3 linked regions of the Rhinolophus ferrumequinum genome follow. The main gene of each other region encodes a partner of the protein of the gene in region 3 in a complex. Links are inferred from orthologs where the notes say so. Each region holds a gene or a part of one and is shown on either strand. Other genes may lie near its edges. The genes, in order: CRYBG1, PPME1 and PPP2R5C.

Region 1 (7,682 bases), on a different chromosome or scaffold from region 3:
GGCCTTTGGTGGATTAGAAAACCGAGGCAGAAAAAGGTTCATAACTTGCCCAGGGTGACATGACTAAGTGTCACAGTAAGTAGAACAGGGACATTGTTCCTGAAGAGCCCATACTCTGAATAAATTGTCTACAAAATAGAGTAAAATTCAAAACCTAATAAATGATAGTGTCACTAGTGGCTACTAAGGAAAGTTGGCCAATAGCTCACCATGCCCTCTCCACACACACCACCGGGCCGCTGATCTCAAGAGACTAATGGGAGACAGGAGGCGTGGCTGGCCCAGGAGGGTAACAGCTCTGTTTCTATGAAAAATAACATTAACATGTTTACTGAAACCAAGGTGAAGAAAACCTTTAAGGGTGAATTTTAGGAAAACAGGCAGCCATGTTCAAGTCCTTTTACGTAAAGAAAGAAAGTAACCATCGTTAATTTTCAGAACATCAACACTAAAGGCCACAAATATTTGCAGAATACAGAAATCTGACATCAATAAACTTTGAAACATCATTGGAATAGTAAGCTCTTCTAGGAAGAAAAGCATTTCCCCCCATCTAACCCTGTTTTTTTTTTCCATTTCTTCCATTAAATCTTTGCATTAATAATGATGATGATGATGATGGTTTTTACATTTACTGAATTCCTACTTTTTGCCCAGAAGTGTGATAAAAGTTTTACATTTTATAACATAAAAACTCATTTGATATTCACGACAGCCCTGCAGAGTCAGTATTACTATTTCCTCCATTTTCCAAATGAAGAAACTGAGACTCAGAAAGGTAAAGAAACTTGTCAAAGGTCACACAGCCATTTCATTTTTTTAAAACCTAAAAGCTCATAATATTAACCGTATGTGCCCAGCAAATGCATGTAGCCACCTGACTGTCCCACTCTCATGTAGAGACAAAGGCCACAGTGAGGGCTGCACATTCTGCCCGAGTTCCACCACCTCCAAGTCCTGGACAGGGTCAGATGGCTCAAGAGAGCCACACTGGCCAAAGACCGACCAACCTAAGAGCACTTTGACCACTCTCTTTAGACTAGAAACAGGTATACTCTCTCAGAAGTAAATAAAATATTTTAAAAGATGATTTAACTAGAAAAACATCCCAAAGACAGACCAGTATGTTTAGTTTTCAGAACATTTGTCCGTACAAAGTTCATCATAGTTCTGAAGGGAAGCATAGAGGGCTCCAAGACTGAACTAAAATACAAGAGGCTCAAGGAGAGAAGCAAAAGTTCCTGTTTTAAGTTTTAGTTTAAAATGTATTTGCATTTGAATAAATGGTCCATAGGTATGAATGATTACATCTGGATAGACAGCAAATGATAGGGCTACATCAGATAAGAACGACCCCTATGGAAATATTTAAACTATTTACTGAGGGAATAGGAAAACTAGTATGAAGTAACATTTTGTTAGAAATTTCAATTCGTAATGAAGCACAGCATGTCTTTGAATAGATAAAAATATGTTCTATTACAACCAATTACTGGATAATAAAGTGAGAAAAAAATAAAATGCCTTCTCTCTTAGTACTTCTCTCCCTACCCCCTCACACATACTCAGATCACGCTGAACCACTTGCGCTTCTGAGGAAGTACCATGCTCTTCCGAGTATTGGCGATGCTTCCAGTATCGCCTCTGCCTGGAACTTGTTGCTCCTCCCGGATCTGACTAAGCCACTTCAGCTATCCTCCTCCACGAAGCCTTCCTGGATCCCCTACTCTGCGCTAACATCTATCATAGCATTTATCCCACTGTTCACTTTTTGGTCTCCACAAGAGACTAAGAATTCTTTGATGGCATAGACCCCTCTCATTGTTTTTTTTACAGCCCAGCATTTAGTTAAGATGCTCAATAAAATTTTTACTAAATGATTGAAAACATATTGCAAAATTCAGACTTTTTTAAATCTGAAAGGAAAAATATATCTAAAATGCAAATCTTGTACAATTTTACTCTGGCCCTCATTTTTCTTGAGAGTGTATTTTAAAAACACACACAGAAGGAATTACTGGACATTGCCCACTGTCCTTCATTAAAAACCTTTTATACCTCCAAACCACATAAATATACTGTTACTTCAAACTGATTATTATGCAATAAATGTAACAATTCAGATAATGCAATTGAATAATTACACATATAGAAGAAAATCACCACAAAATCATGATAAAGATTTAAAAAGCACAATGACAATTATACTTTGAATAACTCGGTGCTGCCTCGTTTTTGCCAGGTATTCCAATGGGGACAAGCCATTTAACCCTTTGGCCTCAGGTTCTCCACCCATAAAATGGGGGTAACCACCCCTGCCACTTCCTTCTCCGTTCCGATATCGCCAGGAGAATGGAGATATAAGAGCTGTAAGAGTGGGGATCTTCACAATGAAAGCCCCATTATCCAACGTATTATGTAATCCCAAGGTAGAGTTGCTATCATCATTCATTACGACCTTTCACTCTCCTGCTCTTGTTAGCAAGTTGGTAGGGTAGACTTGCAAAATTCTTTGCCAGTCAAAATCAAGGCCACCTGGGTGGGCACAAGTTCCCCTCGCTGGTGCTTGGTCTGAGCGAGAGGCAGCAACGAGCCTGAGCACCCCGCCACCCCCCACACAGAGGCCACGACTGCGCCCGTCTGGACCCCGTTACACTCCTGCCGGATGAAACAGACCCTGGGCTTGTGCCCTTCTCTAAAGGGGTTAGAGCGAGGCCACCGGTGGAGAGGACCCAAGCGTCCATGTAGCTGGAGTACCTCGGAAGGAAGAGGAGGTGCGCCTGGAGGGCTGGGGCGAGGAACTCACCTGGCCTCGCAGAGGGCCGCCGGGGGCGGGTGCGGAACGAACACCCCACAGTCAGACGGCGGAGGCTGCTGCTTCTTCTTGGGGCGCCAGATATGGAAAGGGGTGTGCTTCTTGGAGCTTCTGGAGGGGCTGGACTCCCCGGGGTCGCCCTGAGATGGCAGCGACAGTGGCATCTTCTTGTCTGCCTCCTCCTCCACCCGCTGCTCCGATGCTGCTCTCTCCGCCGCCCGGCCCTTGTGAAAGAACATACCTGGGCGCCGGCTCGCCTGCCTTTACCCAGCGCGCTCTCGGACCCCACCCCCTCGCCAGGGAGTTAGAGAACGAGGATAGAGCCCAGCAAGAACAGCACCGCTGTGCGTGCTTTCCCCGCGGAGACCGCCCTGGCGTGGCACAGTGCCCCCGCGCGGCGAAGGCGGCTCTGAGCGCCAGCCCAGGTGAGGCGGGCGCGCCAAGAGCTCCAGGTAAGCACGACGCAGTCCGGGTCTCCGGCTCCCGGGTCACGGCTGCTGGGGGTGGGGGCCCCGACACCTACTGGAATCCCTGGGAACTGCGTCTCCAGACTGCATCCCCTCCTCTAGACTGGGGACCAGAGCTAGGTCTGATTTTGACAGCATCTCTAGTGCATATGCCATCGGTCGCCTGCAGAGTTGGCCGCTTGCGGCCTGTGCCAGTCTGGCAAGATGAGTGGCTTTGCCATGAGCCCCGCCTGACGAAGGATGGGAGAGGCGCATCCCTTGGCCGGCCCACCCGACAATTAGGACTATTCCTATCTGGCCCTTGGGTGGCTTGGGCAATATAGTCGTATGCTGGCTGGCTTCGGTTCCTGTTTGTAAACACGGGTGCCAACTTCTCTCCTCTCCCTTTGAGAGTCAAATAATTAATTTGTACTTGCATCTCATAAAGCACAAAAGGCTAAAAAACAGAAGGTAATTAGGCATATTGCCCCGTTCCCAAAGGGCTTAGTAGATCCCTCATTGCGAATTAAATGCCAGTCCCACAAGGTTCTAGTCTTCTGCTTTACTACTAATGATTTTCTTTTCTTAACCTCACAATCGTGGTTAAATAATAAAGGCAACTAATATTTAAGCAAAGGAAGTACATGAACAATTGTTTTGGGCATTATTAGAGTACAAAGAGCTCAAGATCTAAGTATTGCTTAAAAATTCAGTGCAGTACAAAGTCCCTCTTAAACTGTCTTACCTTCTTTCTTTTCTCTTGAAAGACTCAGCTCATTCACTCACTCACTCATTCAAGGAACATTTATTTGATTATTTTTATATTTATGTTTTTATCAAGGTATAACCTATATACAGTAGAAAATACACAGATTATTAGTATATAACTCAAATTTGTGGTTGGAGGTGTAAAATTATTTTAATGAAGGACAGTTGATATTGTCCCAGAAAATCCTTCAGTATGTGGCTGTTAAATAAACCATTAGAAAAATATACAGTATTTCAAAAATTTCAGAAATCTCTCTCCTGTCCCCTTCCAGTGTCTTACTCCTTCCTCCTATAAAAGTAAACAATTATTCCAACCTCTATCATCATAAATTAATTTTGCCTCTTCTGGAAGTTCATTTAAGTAGAATCACCATATGTACTTTTTTGTGTCTGGTTTCTTTTGCTCAATATTAGTCTATGAGAATCATCCATATTGTTACATATAGCTTTTCATTTTTAAGAAAAATTATTATGCACTATTCCATGATATGAATATACCTCAATTAATGTATCCATTCTGTGAATGGATACAATTTATGTATCCATACTGTGAACGGACATTTACAGTTTCCAGTTTGGGGTTATTACGAATAAAGCTGATGATGAACCTTCTTAGACATAAGCATTCATTTCTTTTGGATATATACCTAAGAGTTCAATCTCTGGGTAGTAGAATATGCATATGTTCGGTTTTAGTAAATTTTGTCAAGCAAGTTTCCCAAATGGTTGTACCAATTTATACTCCTTTCAGCAATGTTTGAAATTTCCAGTTTTTCTGCATCTTCATCAACACAATATTATCAATCCTTATTATTTTGGTCATTCTGATGGGGGTGTAGTGGTATCTCATTGCAATTTTAATTTATGTTCCCTCAAGAAATATTTGTTGAGTTTATTGAGTACTGATTATGTGCCAGGCCTTGACTTGGGAGAGGGGCCTGACTGACAGATACATGAAAGGGTAAGAGAATAGGTAGAGGTATGTACCAGGCATTATGCGAGTTTGAAAACATTACTAACCCAGCCTGGGTGTTTAGGAAGGAGGAAGAGGCGTGATCTGTAAGGATTTAGTATTAATATAAAAGCGGCCCTTGAATTGAACCTTAAAGGGCAAAAGGAACAGCAAGAAAAGGGGAAGAGAGGGAAGAGGGAAGAAGAGAAAAGAGAAGCAAAGGGGGAAAAGAGAAGAGGGGAAAAAGGAAGTCTTCTTGTGCACACTTGCTGAAATATTTACAAGTTCAGTAATTTAGTCTTTCATTCCTGACTCCTCCAAGCAGAATTCTTTATGCCACCCCTCCTTTGTGCCACCAGTGAATCTGGAACACATTTCAGTTATCACACTATTCACATTACGTGGACATTATTTATTTACATATCTGTGTCTCTTATTAGCCTGAGAGAAACTTAAGGACATTTCTCACTGACTTTTATATTTTCAGGACATGAATCCCATTAAGTGAAATAATTAATCAAATGAATTGGTATACTAACCTAATTGGATACCTAAAATGTTTCAGGCACAGACCTTGTATACTGTACACTTTATAAGAGCAAAGATCACAATGTGTCTGTTTTCACTATTACATCCCCAATGACTAGCATATTGCATGGCACAAAATAGGCACTCAATACATATTTTATATGAATCATAGAATATATTGGAACTATGCATAGAAGCGTAAGATACAGTATTTGTGATTAATCTAGTGAGGGATATAAACACTTAAATACAATACAACTTGGTATAATAAAACTTGATATGTTCTAACCAAACTGTTTCACTATTTGTCAGTCATTGCAAAAGCAGATCCACTCAAGCTTGTTTAAGCAATAAATTAATTTGTCACAGCATATTAAGTGGCTTATAGAATACCCCACAGAGCCAAAGAGCGAGAGACTCTGAAGCCCAAACATGCCCTGCCACCCCATAAAGCTGGTCTAACAAACACCACTCTCACCACCTCTCAGCACTAGGGGCTACGCACCAGCAGCCCTGCTACTGCCACCCCAAGAATCAAAGTCCTATTCTGACCATTCTTGGCATATCAGCTCCCCACCTTAACCTCCTGACATACATGTTGCTCACTTCTGGGGAGAAAAAAAAAGTTCCATGCTCGTATATCTGACTGGGGAAGCCTGGGCCATTTAACAGCTTTTTAGCTACACGGGAAATTTAAATTTTCTGGTTTCTACTTCAGAGAGATGGAATTCACGCAGCTAAAACATAGCACAGGTATTCAAAAGAGTAGGTGGCCAAAAGCATGAAGATGGTCACTGCTGAAGGAAAGGGCAAAAGGCTATGGGAACATAGAAGTGACAACTCTAGATGGCTCAGGGAAGTCATTAGCAGGGATGTGACAGGTTCATGAGCTATGCTGATGAATAAGAATTTACCAGATGGCGATGAAAGTGCTGGCAATTCAGAAAGAGTAAACAACATGGGCGGAGGCCCAGGATTGTGAACGGGTATGTGTTGTTGGTGGGGAATAGTGTCAGTGAGATTGGAGAAAAGGGGGATGGGTGGGGCAGAGTGGAAGGAGATGACATTGGTAAAAATCAGGTGGGCCAGATTGCTAAGCACTTGCTAAACCATGCTTTTAAGGAATTGGGACTTGACTTTGTAGGCAGTAGGACTCCGCTTACATTTTTTAGTAGAAGAGTGACATGATCAAACTTGGGTTTTATAAAGTGTACCCTGAATGGAGTGGAGTCAGGAGAAACGAGTAAGGTAAAACTATTTGAGGGAGATCCGTTAAGGGGTTGCTGTAAGAAGTCAGGTGAGAGGTGATGGGAGCCCGCACTAAGGCAGTGGGGTGGGAGTGGAGAGGAGGGTATGAATACAAAATACATGTAGGAGATGCAATCACCAGGAATTGTAGTGAACGAGAGAAAAGCAATCTAGGATAACTATGAGGTTAATTTTCTAGCTCAGGCAAATGGATGGAGGTGGAAGCATTAACTGAAAACAGGAAAACAGGAGAAACATCAAGGTCTCTGGGCATAAAAATAAATTTGGTTTTGAACATATTGAGGCTGAAGTGCTTGGAGGCTGCTAAGGCAGAGATATTTAATTCATTGAAAAAATATGGTTCTGAAGGTCACAAGCCAGGACTGCACAGGTAGATTTAGACATCATCACTAAATAGGTGGGAGTCAATGCCATGAAATTAGATGAGATTATCCAGAGGAAATGTGTAGAAAAAGGAAAAAAGAAGAGCAAGGACAAAACCCTAACATTAACACTAACATTTACGTATTTTGCAGGTAAGGGAGAGCCTACGTACAACAGAGGCCAGACATAGCTGCTGAAGAGGTAGAAGGATATCTGGGGCAGAGCGTAGCCCCTCAACAAGGTCATGTGATTTCTATTTTCAAGATTTTGCTAGATAGATAGAGGTAGGGTCCTCTATCTTATAATGCCCTGTTCACTTCTCTCCCTCTGTCCAGCAATCTGAAGTCCATTTCAAATCTCCACTCATCCTCCCTTCAACCTACGCTGATTTTTTTCTCTCTCTCTAATGTTCTGTTACACTTTCTATCTGAACTTAAGTTGACATTATGGTAGATTATAAAAATGCCCACAATTTTTCACTCTTCCCATAAAGAAGCAGAGTCTATTTTCTCACTGCCTAAATGTGGGTTGGCCATGGGAC
Region 2 (7,875 bases), on a different chromosome or scaffold from region 3:
AATCAGGCTGCTTCTTCATAAAAAAGCCAGGTGAAAGGGCAGCTATTTGGTCCCATTTTACAGATGAGGAAAAGGGGGGGGGTCAGAAATGGGAAGGGACTTTCCCCAAGTCCCACAACTGATAATACCAATCTAAAGTTCAAATGCCAAGTGTAATGCATTCTTTCTTTTAGCACAGGATGCTTGAATAAATGTCTGACCTGTTAATTTCATATTAACACGTATTTTGTCTCTTACTAAAAAATTTCTAATCACTCTTCGTTTGTGAAATTATATAAAAATACCACCTGAGGATTTAAGTTTCAGGTTTACAGTACCCAGAGTATCTACGGGTAGCCTTTAAAAGCACTTATCACTTTCTACCCACTATTGTAACTAAACTGCTCTGTAAATTTAGTTAAAATTAGATATCATTCTGATTCATTTTTTTTCATTCATTTTTGCAATTCCTACAGTGGCTAGCACAATGTGTAGCACATGCTAATAATGTTCAATATGTATTTTTTGAATGACTGAATTTTTTTGTTCTTTACATTTTGACGTTTTCAAAATATTTTTCTTGATAGAACGTAAGCTTCATAAGGACCGGTTAATCTTTAATTCACCTTGACTCTCCAGTATTCTTAGCCCAACAATGTTTATGTGATCCATGCTTAACTTTTACTGACTTAAACCATATTGATTTGATAAATAACTCCACCATTCAAAATATGTTTATCTGAAAGCTTGACCTGAATAGAGAAATAACACAGTACATTTAGAATGCTTTCCTTGAACAGAAATGAAGAAATTTTGGCTCCTGGGTCCTTGTAGAACAATCCTTCCCCTCTTAAAAAACCTGTGGTACTAACTCACTAAACCATTCATTTGGCATTTAGCATGCATTATCTTGTACTAGTAGTAAATTTTACATCTATATCCTTTCCTTGAGCATAACATAAGTCCCAGAGCAGAGACTATAGTTATTACTTAAAGAAGCATGATGTGGTGAAAAGTAAGAGTTTTGCTTGCAAACAGAAGTGTGTTCAAATCCTAGTTTTGCCACTTATCGGCTGTGTAACCTTGGAGAGTATTCATTTAATCTCTCTGAACCTCAGTTTCATTGCTTATAAAACAGAAAAAACATCTATCTTGCAGGTTATTAAGGACTAGAAACAATATATATCAACTGAAAGCACATAGAATACTCTCAATAAATGATGGCTACTATAAAACCTCTTTGACTTCTCAATAATTAACAATGTCACAGATACTATGTACATAATAGTACCTATGCTAACAACATAACCACATGCTTATTAGGCCTGTAGTGAAATGATAAGACAAAAACTTACCCGTTAGATAAGAGGTAAATTGCTTTGGACCACAGCGAATAGCATAACGTGTAGTTGTTCTCACAGCTTTTGGTTCAGTCTGCAATGTGTCCCTGGGACAAAAGAGGGTTCCATCTGATGTTTCTCCCCACCATCTCACTCGGACAAGTACACATGAGGGAGGCTTTGCAATCTTCCATACGACTTTATTAACAGAAAGTTTCAGAAAGCAGCGTAGCTGACCTTCAACCAGAGGTGGCAGGCTTGTAGATGGAGGAATGTCACTCAAACCTGGGGAGGAATCCAAGAACACAAAGTAAAAATGTAGACGAAATATAGAAAACATATTATCTGTTTTTTTGAATGAAAACACAAAAAAATGCTTTAGTCTCTACAGAGAGCAGGCTTATCCTACCTATTCTAATACATGAGAACTAGCAAACCACAGAATAATCTACATGATCACTTAAGCCACCAATATCTACTTAGTATGTAGATATTGATTCTAGTTATTATAAGAACATACCAACTTAAGACATTGTCATGCAGGGTGTCATGTCGGTCTCTGGTCCTGCTCCCCACATAAGAACGCAGGACATGGTGAGGCCGAAAAGGAACACCCATGGAGCCATAGGTAGGGGAGTCATACCACTATACGCTCGCTGGCGGCTGGGTTGGAGACACAGGAAGCAGGAGCCACACTTCACAACCCTCATTGCTCTGCTTGCAGGCTCAACCACCATCTTCTTGCTAGCTCCCATTTTTCTGCTAGTGTAGCCACAGCAGTTATATTAGTGGCCAATGGCTCACTGGTTACTGCTAACGGCCAACTAGACACAGCTGATAGCCATCCAATCACAGTTGATGGCCATTTACTACCTGAGCCAGCACCTTTCCACGTGAGGCCGAGAGCCTGGAAACTGCACTCCTGGCTCTGTCCCCACAGACATGCTAATACAAACTCCTCCTTAACTGAAAGATACCATTTTAAAAATACAAATACAATGATAGGTTTTTAAAATCTCAGAAGTAGTTGAAGTTTTCTTCCAAGTACTGTCGTTTTGATTATTGCAAAGTCCACAGTCCTTAAGACATGTTATCTTTACCTAACTCTCTTACTTCAAAACCATCACTAAATTTAGAACTCCCTTCAAACTCAACTCTCAAACGATTAAGTCTATACTGTACAACTCAGCATTTCAATAAAGACCACCTTAAATCGTCTGTTTCCTTTGCTGCTAATATCACACAGCCCATGAGGACAGATTGTCTTCAGATTTATAGCACGAGCTGGCTTCATAATATTTATTGGTTTTCAGACAGATAATAAAATATAAATGAGGCAATTAATCATGTCTTTCTATAAAACTTTAATGTATCTTCCAACCAAGACTGGGAGATGTAAGAAACCATTCTTACGAGCATATTACACATACATTTCTAGTCCTCTGACTTTTCCTTTGGGGAATGGTCAGGCCTCACAAGAAGAAAATATACTGAAGTCTATAGATCAGGAATCTATATAACTAATTCTTAGGATTTTTTAAGTGAACACCCTCTCTGTTCTCTAGAGTGGAGAAAAGACCCACCATAACCTTTATGCATAGCTAGTTTCAATATAAAAATTATGCACAGGTGTTTACGTGAGCATTACTGCATATGCAGATGGTATAGAGAGGGGAGCATTCTTACGTTATTTCTAGTTTGATTTTTCTATTAACCAAATATGCTTCACCAGTTTGACATAGGGAACACCTGCATTGACTACTTCCATGTGTCTCATATCCTCCCATCATTCCTGGCAGGAAAGACACTGCTTCAAAACTTAGTTAACTTTAAACAACGTAGCTAAAATTCATTCCCAGACTGCAGCTTCAGTCCTCAACCCAATGGCCTAATGTACCATCACTATTCCCAATACCTCTTTGCGTATAATGTAAAAAAGACAGTAACATGATGGGTTTTGTTTGTTTCGTTTTTTGAGGTAGTGCTGTAGAGATTCAATTTCCAGTTTCCTGATCTGCCTTGGATTCCTAGGGTGACTGTTCCTCCAGCAGCTAACATTTCCCTACTCTCTTAGTGAACTGTTTCTCCTGGAGCATACTAACCCGATAAGGTCCTCTTGCTACACACCCTCTCATCATCTCAAATCCTTCAGAGAGCCTCATGTCCTTAACACCACTCCAACTCTAACTTACACACCATGTCACTCTCCACTCTTTCTTCCTCTTTCCCCCACAGCTATCTTTCCCAGTTCTCACCTGTAGCCCTTCATGCTTCATGACTGTTTCATGCTTCACTCACTCAACTAACATTTACTGAGTTCTGCTTCATGCTAATTCTTGGGGAGTAATGTATAAAGTGTGATTCTTGCCTATTAGGATTCCTGACATACTCCCCTCTCCAACTTATGTTTCTTCCAGCCCTACATGGACCTCCAAAGGAATACCCCTCCCCCCACCGCACGTTTAACTGTTACCAAAAACAGTCCTAATCCATGGGGATGTAATGTACACCACAATGACTACAGTTAGTATATTTGAAAGTTGCTAAAATAGGTCTTAAAAGTTCTCATCACAAGAAAAAAAAAATTTTTAACTATGTATGGTGATAGAGGCTAACTAGACTTACTATGGTGATCACTTCACAATATATACCAATATCCAATCATTACGTTGGGCACCTGAAACTAACAATGTTAATGTCAATTATATCTCAATTTCCAAAAAGTTAAAAAAATTTTCGAGAATTTTTTGTTCCCTTCCTCTAGAAGCATCCTACCTTTACCCTTTCGGTCTACACCTCTCCCTATTTATTTGTCCAGTTTGCCCCCCACGCCAGACCCTATTTCCTTACCATTCGTTGGAGGGCCAATTGCCCTCTCTTTTAACCTTCTCATTCCCTGGTTATCCTCCTTCTTCTGTCCCTTTCCCTTTTCTTTCTTTCTTTCTTTTTTTTTTTTAACAGGAGTGTGTGGAGGTCTCCCTAGAATTCCGTACACCCTGCTCCCCTGTTCCTCCCTATTACACCTTCACAACCTCTGGTCGCTCAGGTTACCTCTTTTCTTGCGGCCACGACCGCCCCCAGGCCCTTGGCCTTTTCGTTGTTTCATGACGAGGCGGAACTCTTCATCAACTCAACTCCGGTCCCAGCACCTAAGCCGTAGCCTCCCGCCATCCCTTCCCACCGCGCCTGTGTTCCTCGGCAACCGGCGCCGCTGGGCAGCCTGGGAGGCAGGAAGAAGCTGCTCTTCCTCTAACAGTCTCTGGGAGTCCGTGAGAAGGGAAGGCGCCAAGACTTCTTAGCGCTCATACACTACAACACCCAGGATGCTTTGCTACCCTACCTCTGCGGGGTTGGACGCTGTTTCTTCTAGCTGCGCAAGCGCAGAGGGATACGCCCTTTGAGGACTCCATTGCCCAGGGTGCATTGCCTAGGAGCGCTTCTCTTTCCGGCAAGAGTCGCTAAGATTCCCGGCTTGGGGTCTGAGGGCTCTTCAGACTTCGTTACCCAGCTTTCCTTGTGAGCGCTGTTGCGCACTTCCGGTGGAACCGCCTGAGGAGAGGGGGTGGAGTTTACGGAGCCGGTGGGCGGTAGGCGGTGCTGCCGGTAGCTGGGTGCTGTCCAAAAGCGACTGTGCGTCGGTAGAGAGGCGAGCTGTGACCGGTTGGGCCGCACATATCGTGGGACGAAGCTTCGGCTCCTGTTTGACTACCTGCGGCCTCCCCTTCATGTCCGCCCTCGAGAAGAGCATGCACCTCGGCCGCCTGCCCTCTCGCCCCCCTCTGCCCGGCAGCGGGGGCAGTCAGAGCGGAGCCAAGATGCGAATGGGGTACGTGACCAGTACCCCTTCTCCCTAGAGGCCAGGCCCCGGCCATTGGAGAATGGAGTCGACTATGGGCGTTTAATGCTGCACGGACAGGGAGGCTACGGAGAGGAGAGAATGTTGGCGATCGGCCTGGAGACGTTTAGATGGAGTAGAAGGCAGATTTGGGCACTAGGGGAGACGCCAAGTCCATGGAAATTGGAGGACAAATAGTATTGAAGGGACAGGGAATAAGCAAAGATTGAAGAGGCCCAGAGGGTAGTTTAAGAGATATAACAAGCCCTTCAAGAAGACGGGATGGAGGAGGTTTGAAGAAAGGGAGTACAGCTGTGATAAAGGTGGGGGGAAAGCTGCCGGGGATGATTGAAGGAAATGAAGATGACTGAGTGAAAAGTTGAGGGGAATTAGGGGCAACAACTAGGGAAAAATTTGCGAGGAGTAAGAAGACTATGAGAACTAGATATTAGAAAAGCTGAGGGGACTAGAGAACACCTGAAGGAAAGTAAACTGGGGAGCAGAAGGTTCTAGAGAAAGTTCCTAAAGGGGTAAGAGGCAGATTCAGGGAGTTAGGGGATGACTAGGAGAACTGAGAAAGCTTGGGGAAGAGGCGTAAAGAAAGATGGAGAACATAGCGAAGGAGACAGTGAAGGATAATAGGAAATGTAATGAGAAGCGAGGGTAGGGAACAAGAAGAGGAGTGATGCGGGCTGAGGAGCTTAGAGAGTGACGATGGACTTTAGAAATTGAGAAATGACGAGGAATAGGGTTTAGTGAATGGAAGTGCTGCAGAGATAATGTCTGGGAAGCGTAAGGAGGAAGATTTGGGCAATTGATTTTTGCTGGGCAATTAGGTCCGATGGAAGCTATGTACTGGTTTGATAAAACTCAGAATTAATGAAGGATTGAGAGTAGCCATTTAAAATGTTTCAGAGGAGCCGTTTACTAGGAAGAAAGCTGTGTTGAGGAGATAGACTTTTGAAACTGTAGGTTGGTGAATGGTTTGTGCCAGGTTAGGGATCTCAGTGTAGGAGAAAGCATAATGAGTTGAACGTGGGAGAGGTACTTGCTGGAAAGCAGAGAGAATTGAATAGGCAGTTGGTTTTGAGGGGTATTTGTAGTATCAGACAGGATTCTGGAGACTAGTGACTGTAGAGAAAAGGGGCAGGAAGAACACTTGGGTGTTAGGTAGTCCAGAGTGTGTTTGGGATTCTGGAGATGGGCTGGTAGAGATTCTTGGAGTAAGGACTAGAGAAGAGAAACCTTAGGTTTTCAAGAAGTATTATGTACAAGAACTAATCAAAAAGGAGATGAAGATAGGAGATGTAGTACTGTGAAAATAGGTTCTAGGAATGAAGAGAAAGCAGAGTCCTAAAAATTAAAACATTGGGTTAGGAGGCGGTGAGAATGGTTGAAAAAACCCAGGAAGGAAACTTAAGAATTGAAGTGGAGACTTGATTATGATGTACAGTAGAAAAATGGAAAAACCTTGACAAGAGAAGGTAGGTCAATGGACGCACAGTAGAAAGAGATGGTAGAAGGCTGCATATAAGGTAAGATGAAGATGGTTTTGTCTTTGGAAGACAGAAATGTAGGACTGCATAATAAGGAGGATCTGGAAACTGATCCATAACAGATTATTTGGGAAAATTAACCTGGAGTATAAAGTTAATAACTTTTATTGTTGTTGTGTATCTTAGTTGCTGCCTATCGTAATCTAAAATTTGATCTTTCAGTATACCAGCACTGTTCGGTAAAAATGTACAAAAATAATAGTTTTTTAATAGCTGTACATGCTTTAGATAAGTTTAATTAGAGCTCAGCTTCTCACTTTGTCAAAACAAGTTCTCTGAAGATGAAGAACTGAAGAAAAATACTAAGAGAAAATTACGGGAAAATCTGCTGATTAGACGATTATATAATTGTTAGTAATTTATCCTTTTTAAATAGATGCTTTCGTTTTCTTAGTTTAGGTTAACTGCTTATCCCGGAAAATAAAGTTATTTAGAAAGATGCTTCTTTATAGTATTGTGAGGACACGACCATATGTTGGTGAATTTTATTTGGTCCTCAAGTGGCTTATTTCCCTGTATTTTTTTTTTCTACTTCCTGATTGGAACATAGGCAGGCCTCATTTAATGTTAGTGATAATAACAGACTCTCCCCTAGAATCATAAAGCTGGAAGAGAGCTTTGAAATGATCTCATCTCAGCATTTCACTGTATAGTTGAGGGAACTGAGACTCAAAAAATTCTGTGTTCTGTAAACTAAACTAAGAGGCAGGGGACAAAATTTTCTCTTAATAAATGGCAAAACTGAAACTCAAATCTTCCTCATACTGAGGCACCCTAGAAGCTTGGTGGTAAGGCCCCTAAGGACTAGAACATGGGTCTCTTGACTCTGAGACCCACTGTGTCTTTTTGGATTTTTAGTTATTATTCTGAGAATACTTAGTTTGAGTTTTATATCTTATTCTTTTGCAAATACTCTAGGATTCAGTGTTTCTTTTTGCTTAGTCCTGATTTATGAAGTCTCACTTTCACCAATTTCAAAGCATCCTTCTTTATTTCTCCTACTCACTTGCTTTTTTCTTACCTTATCATTTTTTCCTACTCTCCCATCTCTCACTGTCAAGTTGGGCCTATTCCTTTGACAGTCACTTATGTGACTTACTCTCTTAACTATTTTTCATAATTTTATGCCTTCAATTTCACTAAACCTTACTTAGATGTGTTTGCA
Region 3 (7,998 bases):
TCAGGTTAAAATATTCACAAGTTCAGGGTAACACTGAGAAAAGGAGAGAAAAAGAGTGTGCAATAATGGTTTAATTCACCTGCCTGAGTCAATCATGTTTGGTAAGTGGGTGGAACCAGAAGTGAAGAAGTGAAATGAAGACTGAGAAGAGAAAAACAACAATAAAAAAGTAAGGTTCAACTCAAAGTTCAAGTGAACTGCAGAGCCTTAATTTGTATTCCTGCAAAATAATTTACACGGTCATCTGCCAGTGTCATGCTTAACATGCCATGTTGCCTCTGGTATCCTTAGGAGGAAGTAGTGAAGGGCCCACATTTCAGTATTTTTCAGTGGTAATTTCAAGCTCTGTAGCTCCAGCTCTTAGTAGCGCTAGAAAAAATACAAAAAGACAACTGGGGCATCACATTCAGACACTGCAGGCCACACTTCAAAGGGTCGTAAGCAATTGACACTCTAGGAACCCAATCCACCTTAAAAACACGTAATTTACATTATTAGTGGTTTTGGTATCTTTCAGTTATTGATGGATTTTTTTCAGGTTCAAACTTAATCTTTTCCATCCTTTCAGCCGGGTTCTTTCTGCTAAAACAGGAATAAATGAACCATACTCATTGAGACTTCTTTGGGACACTAACAAGTGAGAGGACACAGGTACGTGAGCAAGAAAGATTTGGGGAGCACTAGGAAGGACGTCTAGCAGTTTTAATGAAAGATCAACAAATTAAAAAGAGAAAAGAAAAAGTATACACTCTTCCAGAGAGACTAAATTTCATTTAAATCAATTTAATCTAAATTGACACGGAAGTAAGCAATTTAGACAAATAAGCAAATCAAATACAAGAATGACAGTAAAATTCGATTGTCTGCTATAAAGAAAGGGCAGGGAAAGATTGGCACAAATCATCCCTAATATTGACAGTTAAGGAACCGTTTGGATTTCTACTTTTTGTTTTGGGGAGAGCAACACATTTGCTGGAATAAATCACCTACCAAGAGGAGGGAAGCTTAGAATGCACCAACTGATAAGGAAAAGATTACCTGGGGCAAAAAAAAAAAAAAAAAAGGCTACTGCAGATAATGGCCACGCAGAAATGAACCATCCTAATTTGGCTTACATAGGAAGGGGTCTGACACCTGCAAATTAATGTCATCTGTGATAAGACCAGAGACCTCCACGATCCAGCCCTGGAGAACTAGGACACTGAGCAGCTTCTCTGCTCCTAATGTTTCAAAAGGGCCTATTAGCTCTGCCTGGGTCCACACCACTCCTGGACCCTTAGCCCGATGTGCTCCAGTTCAACAAGTAGTCACAAGGAAGAAAAGGCAACGCCAAAGGCTGGCTCTGCAAATGCTCTCAAAGCACAAGGGTGTCAAGAGACTGCCACGACCCCACCACGTCAACACAATCTTCACCGGGCATTGCAGCTGTTACCCAATGAGCCCAAAGTCAAGAAGCAAAAGAAGTCAGAATTGGCAAATGCAGACAAAGAGAAAATGCGAAAGAGGATGGAAGACTGTACAGAAATACCCGAACTAGATAAACCAAAATATACCAACACTATTGGGGAAAGAGACTAAAGGGGACCAGACATCAACAGAGAAAAGGAGGTGGCCCAGAAAACCAGCAGCAAAGACAGCACTGAGGAAAGCTACGGCGGTGGAAGGAGGAGATAAGCCCAGGAGAGAGGGACCTTGGCCACTTACAAAGGAAGGAAGTGGGAGGATGGAAAGCTAAAAGGAACATGAAAAAGTCCAGCTGAGACAGATGCTGTGGAACCAACCAGTCTCTACAGGACCGCTGCTAGATGTGGGTGGGGTGGGGGAGCAATGGGGGTGGGGTAAGGGTGAATTTTAAAATCCCAGCAGCACAGATACGCATAATATTCATAGAAACATTCATATTTTACCAAAGCATTATAAAAACCTAAATAACTAAAATTGAGGGCTATGAAAGACACTGGGGGGAAATCTCATATAGGGAAACATTACAAAACCCTAGATTTTATCAGCCTCCGTTTTTCTATCCTAAGTTAAGAGCTGTTTATAAACAAGCGGGAAGTGAGCGTTTGAGAACAGTTACCTCTGGTTCAATTACGTCTTGTCCTTCTTTTGAACTTTTTCCACTTTTCCCTGCTTTTGGCAATTCCTGGGAAATATCAAGCAGAATCAATTAGGCTTCTCAAATTTTAGACTGCTCAACAACAGATAAATCAAAATGCAGTTTTAAAATTGAGTTATACAATTTAACCAGGACTTAACGACAGTTTTAATCAATACCATCAAACCCTATATCATATTGTTTAGAGATGTAACTAAGATAGACGCCACCCTGCCCCCCACCATCCAGATTCCCCTCGTTTTATCTGTGTTTGAAGTTGAAAACTTTAAGCAAAAACAGATAAACGCAAATGTACACAGTGCTCGCAGCATTTTGAAGACCCACATCCCCCCGAAACCCTGAGAGCGGGGATCCCCGAGGTGGTCCCAGAGCCCTGCCTGAAGCACAAACACGCCCCCGCAAACGCAGCACCCGGAGCCATCGCCGCCGCCACCCCGGTAACAGAGCCTCAATGGGTCCCTTTGCAGAGCAGACGACTCTTCACAAACATCAAGCGGGGTGCACTCGCTCGCTCCCTTTCTTCCGGGCCGGGTCCCGCCTACGTCTGCGGCCCCCACCCCTGAAGCCCCTTCCCAGGCTCTGCGAGGCTGGTCAACCACCTCGGCGGCTGCACCTGCCCCTCACGCCCACCGCGCGCACTGCCCGGGCGCCCACGCCGCAGTCAGGACCCCCGCCCAGACCGGGCCGCCCCCCATTCCGGGAGCAGGCGGAGCGGCGCCCTGGTGCCCTCAGGACCCCGGCGTCGGGGCCGCAGGTCCGGGCGCAGGACCCCGACCCCGCCGCGCCCGGCTCCTGGGCAGGTCCCCGCCGGCCTCCCCGCCGGCCCGCCCGGGCCCTGACTCACTTTCTCCTTCTTGTTTTTATTCGGCATGGCTGGTGCGGGCCGCCCCCGCCGCCGGCCCCCCGCAGCAGCAGCGCCCCCGCCCCGGCCGTCGCGCCCTCCCGGCCGCCGCCGTCGCTGCCGCAGCCGCCCGGGGACTGAGCCGTTCGCTGGCTCGCGCTTCCCCTTTTCCAGGTTCCCAGAGGCTGCGGCAGCCGCGGCGGCGGCAGCGGCAGCGGCAGCGGCGGCGTCTCTCCCCGGCCCTCCCCGCCCCGCTCCGCCCCTCCGCTCTCCTCCCCTCCCCCCGCCCGCCTCCCAGCCCCGCTCCCCGCCCTGCCCCCGCGCAGATCCCGCCCCTCCGCCGCCAGGCGCCCTACCATTGGCCCAGACGCCCTCACGTGCCCTAACGCTCTTCCGCATCCCCGCCTCCGGCGCTGGGCCTCGTCCCACTCTCGTTCCCACGCCGCGCTCTTGCTGGAATCCACAGGCCGTGCGGCAGGGTCGTCGGCTGCGGCGAGCGGCCGGCCGGGAGAATTCAGGCGAGTCTGGGGAGGGAGCGTGGGGCTGCAACTGCGGCGACGGTCCGGTGCCCGCGGTGGAGGTGCGGGACGGAGACAGCAGGGTGCAAGGGAGACACACGGAAAAGGCACTTTTCAAACGGCTGGCAACAAGTTCTGCAGCCGGCCGGACGCGGCCCGGGGCGAACGGCGGCCTCCCGGCCTCGCCCCCTCGCCACTGCGGTGCTTGCCGAACTTGAAAGCGCCCGCGCTCTAGCGCATGGGGGTGACTAGGAAGTCTGGGGGCGGCGGTTTCGCGGCGCCTCGTTAGGCCCCGCCCACTGGTGCCCGCCCCGCCCCCTCCATCGTAGGCCCCGCCCGCCGATGCCCGCCCCGCTCACCGAGACCCCGCCCCGAGGTCCCAGCGCGAATGGGGTTTTATTTTATTCTTCCCATTGGCTTGATCATAAACCATTTGAGGAAGTCTCTGCATTATAACCAGTAGTCACGCGATTTGTTATCTCACTAATAGCTCTGGGGAGATGAGTTTACTAAGGGAAGAAGGTTAATTTCGATACCCAGACTACTTCCACAGTCTAGTGTCAAAACCTGTTGGAGACTCTGATGACAGGCATGGAGATGAAAACATAGCTGAGGTAGTAAGACTCCAGGAGTGAACGGATTTCACGTGTGAGAAGCGGTGCCTCACCGTGATGATTAAGTTTCTGGATCATAACTGGGCACTTTGTCTTAGGCTCCGGTTTTCAGTTTCTGAAAGTTGCCAGGCAGAGCATTTTCGGTTATTCTGTGTTGGGAAAGCTAAAAGAAGAAGAGAAAAAAAGGTCTAAAGTGAGGAGTGTCGTGGGAGGTCCTGAAAGTAAGTTCTGCCTGCAGGTATCTGGATGTGCACTTTTAGACAAATGACTGCAAGTAAATGGCACAGCCTCCAACAGCTATATGTGCAGAAGAAACGGTTTTAGACTAGTCTTTTAAGTAGCTTAATAGTTTTTCCAAAACAAATAGTTAAACTATGAGGGGTAGAGCAGTGCCCCTAGTTAATTTAGTAACTTTTTATTTTAAAAATAAAATAGATGCTATCAATTTAATAAATCCAGCATAAATCCTTATCAAAAAGGAGTAGTTCTAAAACAGTACAACCATGGAGCTCTAAGCGGGCTGGGAGCTTCTCCAAGACAAGTCTATGCCTCCAGTACCCTTGGATCACAGCCCCTGATACAGTGTTGCACCCTAGCAGACATTTGTTGCATGCCCGCTGTGTGTGCGGGGATCGTGGTGAACAAGACACTACCCTTGTCCTCAAGTGCTCTGCATCCTTGGTGGAAACAAAACCAGCAGCCAGAAGGACATGACGTGTGGCAAGTCTACAGGGACTGGGGTGAGGGTGGTCTGGGTTGGAAGCAGGAAATAGCACAGAAGGATTTTGTTGCGGCCGGAGATGGGAGCAAAGGCCTCTACGAGACCTTCCCAAGGCATTGGACTTCTTTCTGGTTGTAATTTAGCATGTAATTCAGGGTCACTGAAGGATATTAAACTGGTGAGTGACATGCTCACGTTTGCCCTTTAGAAGACATCTGTAGCAGGAATGTTGGGGGTGGGGTGAAGGTAGGAGGCCAGGAGAACATCCAGGATCTAGTTACCGTCCACGTGTGGGCAGGTGAGGCGTCTCTATGGCAGTAACAGGAGGATCACAAACATCCAGGAGGCAGACTTGCTCGGCGGGAGCGAACCCGAATCCAGGCTAATACCTGTGTAGTTGGGGCTGCACAGGGATGAGGAAGGCACACAGCAGGGAGCGCATTTTGAGGGACCGTGATTTCGGTTTTGGTATGTGTTGAGTTGGAGCTATGTCTGCCACATGCCAGTAGAGGTGTCCTAGGTGGCAAATGACAATATGGATCTGATAGGATAGTGTCAGTGCATGTCAGGTTAGGTATTTATCAATTCAATTAGAGTTTGGGGGCAAGTGTAGGGGCAAGATACCAGAAAAGCTGCCTCGTTACCTTGAAACCATACTAACCAGAGAAATTGGAGCCAACACCATAGCCTGGCACACGTGTTCCTCACTGGTCATTGAACTGGTTTTCATGTGCCCACAGTAGGGCTATCCCATAACCACGATTAGTTATGGAACGTTCACAGGGGACCCTGGGTATGGTGCAGTGTCCTGGCCGCTGTGACCTTTACAGGAACATAAAGATAGGTGTCAAAAGAAGGATACGGAATAGGCTCTAGTGGAATATGGAAATTGTGTGTGTTCATACTCCTGTGTGTGTGAGCGTGTGCACATGTGCCTGAGGGCTACCTCTTCTGAGATGCCCCGCCTGCCACATTCCTAAAGGCACTGCCCATGGCACACAAAACTCCTCTTCTTCAGACACCCACCCTTCTGGAACACTTTTCTGAGATGGCCCCCAGTGACCTAGCAATGTTTTTTCTATGTTCATCTTTTCTGTACAGTGGATGACTTCGTGTACACCTCTGAGGTCTCTGGGGGATCAGAGAAGTCCCCAGAGGACCTAGGTCCTTGGCTGCACTGCAGCCACAGCCACAGCCCCAGAGTCTGGTGCTTCACTCTGGGCAGCAGAAGTGGTACATCAAAGTAGGGCAGAGAGAAGACGGGCCCCGACCCTCATCAGCCGTGGTACCCTTCCTGCATCTACCCTCAGCAGCTCTTCCCACGCGCTTGTCTTCAAAGGTGCCTGTGACACAGCTGCCCTGCTCTCACAGTCTCTTCTGGGGCCACTTCAAACCCAGCCCCGCTTGCTATGCTGCAGCTGTGGTCTCCTCCACCCAGAATGCCCCTCTCCGGTCTCTCTGTACACCAGCCTGTCTTGGGCATTGTGTGTTTCCCGGTGTCTGGCGTCTGTGAAAGAAATTGATTCCACTGCTGCTTGTGGTTTGGCCCATATCTCAGACTTCTCTGGCCTCCTGCTTTTTCTCTTAGGCTGTTGTCTGCCCCTCAGCCTGGGGAGTGCTTACAAGACCCCCTTCTCTGTCCACATCACCAGCCCCACCAGGCTCCCAGCCCCTGCTGCTCACCTCTCCTGGAGAGGGGCTGCCCATGAACTCGCTTGGGCAGTAACTTCTTCACGGTCACCCCTGAGGCCTTCCCTGCCCTGGAAGTTCAACTCGTCTACTCCCCCACCTTTCCTCTCTTCATTTCCATTGACATGTCATCAAACACATTTCTCACTGAACTGGGCACCATTCAAACGTGCCTGCAGATTTGGGGTGGAGGAGTTGGAGGGAGTAAGTGTAACTCAGATTACACTGACATGAAATACCCATATGAGGAGTGCTGAACAGTGCCAGGCACATAGCAAGTGCTCATTAAGTCCAGTGGACAGTGATTTCATGTGAGGTGCTGTTCAGTTCTGAGGATCCAAGGAAACACCCCAAAGTCACATCTCACAGCCCCTCCCTTTCTCTCCTCCTTCCCCCTCTCTCTCACCAGTGCCTCCCATTGGTCTAACGGCCTGGAGCCAGAGGGCCAGGGAGCCAGAGAGGGTGGGGGTGCTCTCGAGGGACCTTAAGTGGAGAATAACTGTATCAGGGAAGAATGGGAAATTTGGAATGAGAAGACTCAGGTTTATGTGCAGACTTTGTGTGACCTTGGCTCAAGCTCTCTAAACCAATGATTCTCAAATGGGGGTGATTTCCCCCCACCCCAAAGGACATCTGGCAACGTCTGCAGACATTTGGACTGTTACAGCTGGGTAGCAGGGCAGGGGTGAGGCGGTGTATTGCTACCGGCATCCGGTGGTTAGAAGCCAGGGATGCTGCTAAACACCCTACAGTGCCCAGGACGGCCCCCATGACAAAGAACCCTGCCCCGAATGGCAGCTGTGCTGAGGTGGGGAAACGCTGGTCTGCACCCGTGTGAAATGGACGTGATGCAACCTGCCTTGCCCCCTCCATGGTTGCTGTGAGCGCCACAGGAAGTAATGGGCATGAAAGCCACAGCTGTGTCTACAGACTTCATTTAAGAAGAAATTCTTCAATTTCTGGACAGAACTCTACAGTCTCTGCCATACTGAGCAGAATTCCTGGTCACGTCTGTCCTGGGAGACCTGGAAAGACCACCTTTCTAGAGGAAACGCCATCCAAGTTATAAGTGGAAGTTACTGAGACCGCCTTTCTAAAAACTTTAAAAAATTATGGTAAAATACACATAATCTAAAATTTACCATGTTAGCCATTTTTAAATGTACAGTTCAGTATATTCACATATTCACATGCAGAACTTTTTCATCTTCCAAAACTGAAGTGACCTCCTGTACTCCCCTGCCCCGGCGACCACCATTGTACTTTCTGTCCCTATGAATTTGACTACTGTGGGTACCTCGTATACGAGTGGAATCATACAGGATTTGTCCTTTTGTGACTGGCTTATTTCACTCGGCGTAATGTCCTCAAGGTCCAGCCATGTCGTAGCACATGCCAGAAGCTCCTTCTTTTTTAAAGCTGAATAACAGTTCATCGTATGGATATGCCACATTTTATTTACTCATTTATACCTTGGTGCCCACTTTGCTTCTATC

Evidence for each region.
Region 1: the proteins of PPP2R5C (region 3) and CRYBG1 are in contact, whole or in part, in a crystal structure (PDB 6VRO), measured with the Homo sapiens proteins. The link is inferred for Rhinolophus ferrumequinum from reciprocal best matches to the Homo sapiens genes PPP2R5C and CRYBG1. Residues at the interface, in NP_002710.2 of Homo sapiens: Lys183, Thr184, His187, Tyr190, Gly191, Leu194, Arg197, Ala198, Arg201, Glu226, Ile227, Ser230, Ile231, Asn233, Gly234, Phe235, Ala236, Lys240, Glu242, His243, Pro265, Gln266, Tyr269; in NP_001358171.1 of Homo sapiens: Pro1136, Phe1138, Ala1139, Met1140, Pro1141, Pro1142, Ile1143, His1144, Glu1145, Asp1146, His1147, Glu1149.
Region 2: the proteins of PPP2R5C (region 3) and PPME1 are in contact, whole or in part, in a cryo-EM structure (PDB 7SOY), measured with the Homo sapiens proteins. The link is inferred for Rhinolophus ferrumequinum from reciprocal best matches to the Homo sapiens genes PPP2R5C and PPME1. Residues at the interface, in NP_002710.2 of Homo sapiens: Asp180, His187, Arg188, Tyr190, Gly191, Leu194, Arg197, Ser230, Ile231, Gly234, Phe235, Ala236, Lys240, His243, Asp313, Gln341, Tyr348, Glu353, Tyr354, Glu399; in NP_057231.1 of Homo sapiens: Arg37, Lys38, Arg39, Asn192, Lys217, Val251, Glu252, Gly253, Ile254, Ile255, Glu256, Glu257, Pro345, Gln346.

Annotation. Positions count from the first base shown.
Region 1 is NC_046286.1:59,667,312-59,674,993, reverse strand, and holds the start of CRYBG1 (beta/gamma crystallin domain-containing protein 1), read right to left. Parts: upstream 3,077-7,682; 5' UTR 3,055-3,076; coding exon 2,807-3,054; intron 1-2,806. UniProt on the Homo sapiens protein: May function as suppressor of malignant melanoma. It may exert its effects through interactions with the cytoskeleton.
Region 2 is NC_046294.1:49,200,418-49,208,292, forward strand, and holds the start of PPME1 (protein phosphatase methylesterase 1), read left to right. Parts: upstream 1-4,851; 5' UTR 4,852-5,044; coding exon 5,045-5,145; intron 5,146-7,875. Other genes in the region: C2CD3 (C2 domain-containing protein 3), read right to left, coding at 1,335-1,604, 4,371-4,425. UniProt on the Homo sapiens protein: Demethylates proteins that have been reversibly carboxymethylated. Demethylates PPP2CB (in vitro) and PPP2CA. Binding to PPP2CA displaces the manganese ion and inactivates the enzyme.
Region 3 is NC_046289.1:2,951,816-2,959,813, forward strand, and holds the start of PPP2R5C (serine/threonine-protein phosphatase 2A 56 kDa regulatory subunit gamma isoform), read right to left. Parts: upstream 3,075-7,998; 5' UTR 2,991-3,074; coding exon 2,964-2,990; intron 2,147-2,963; coding exon 2,081-2,146; intron 1-2,080.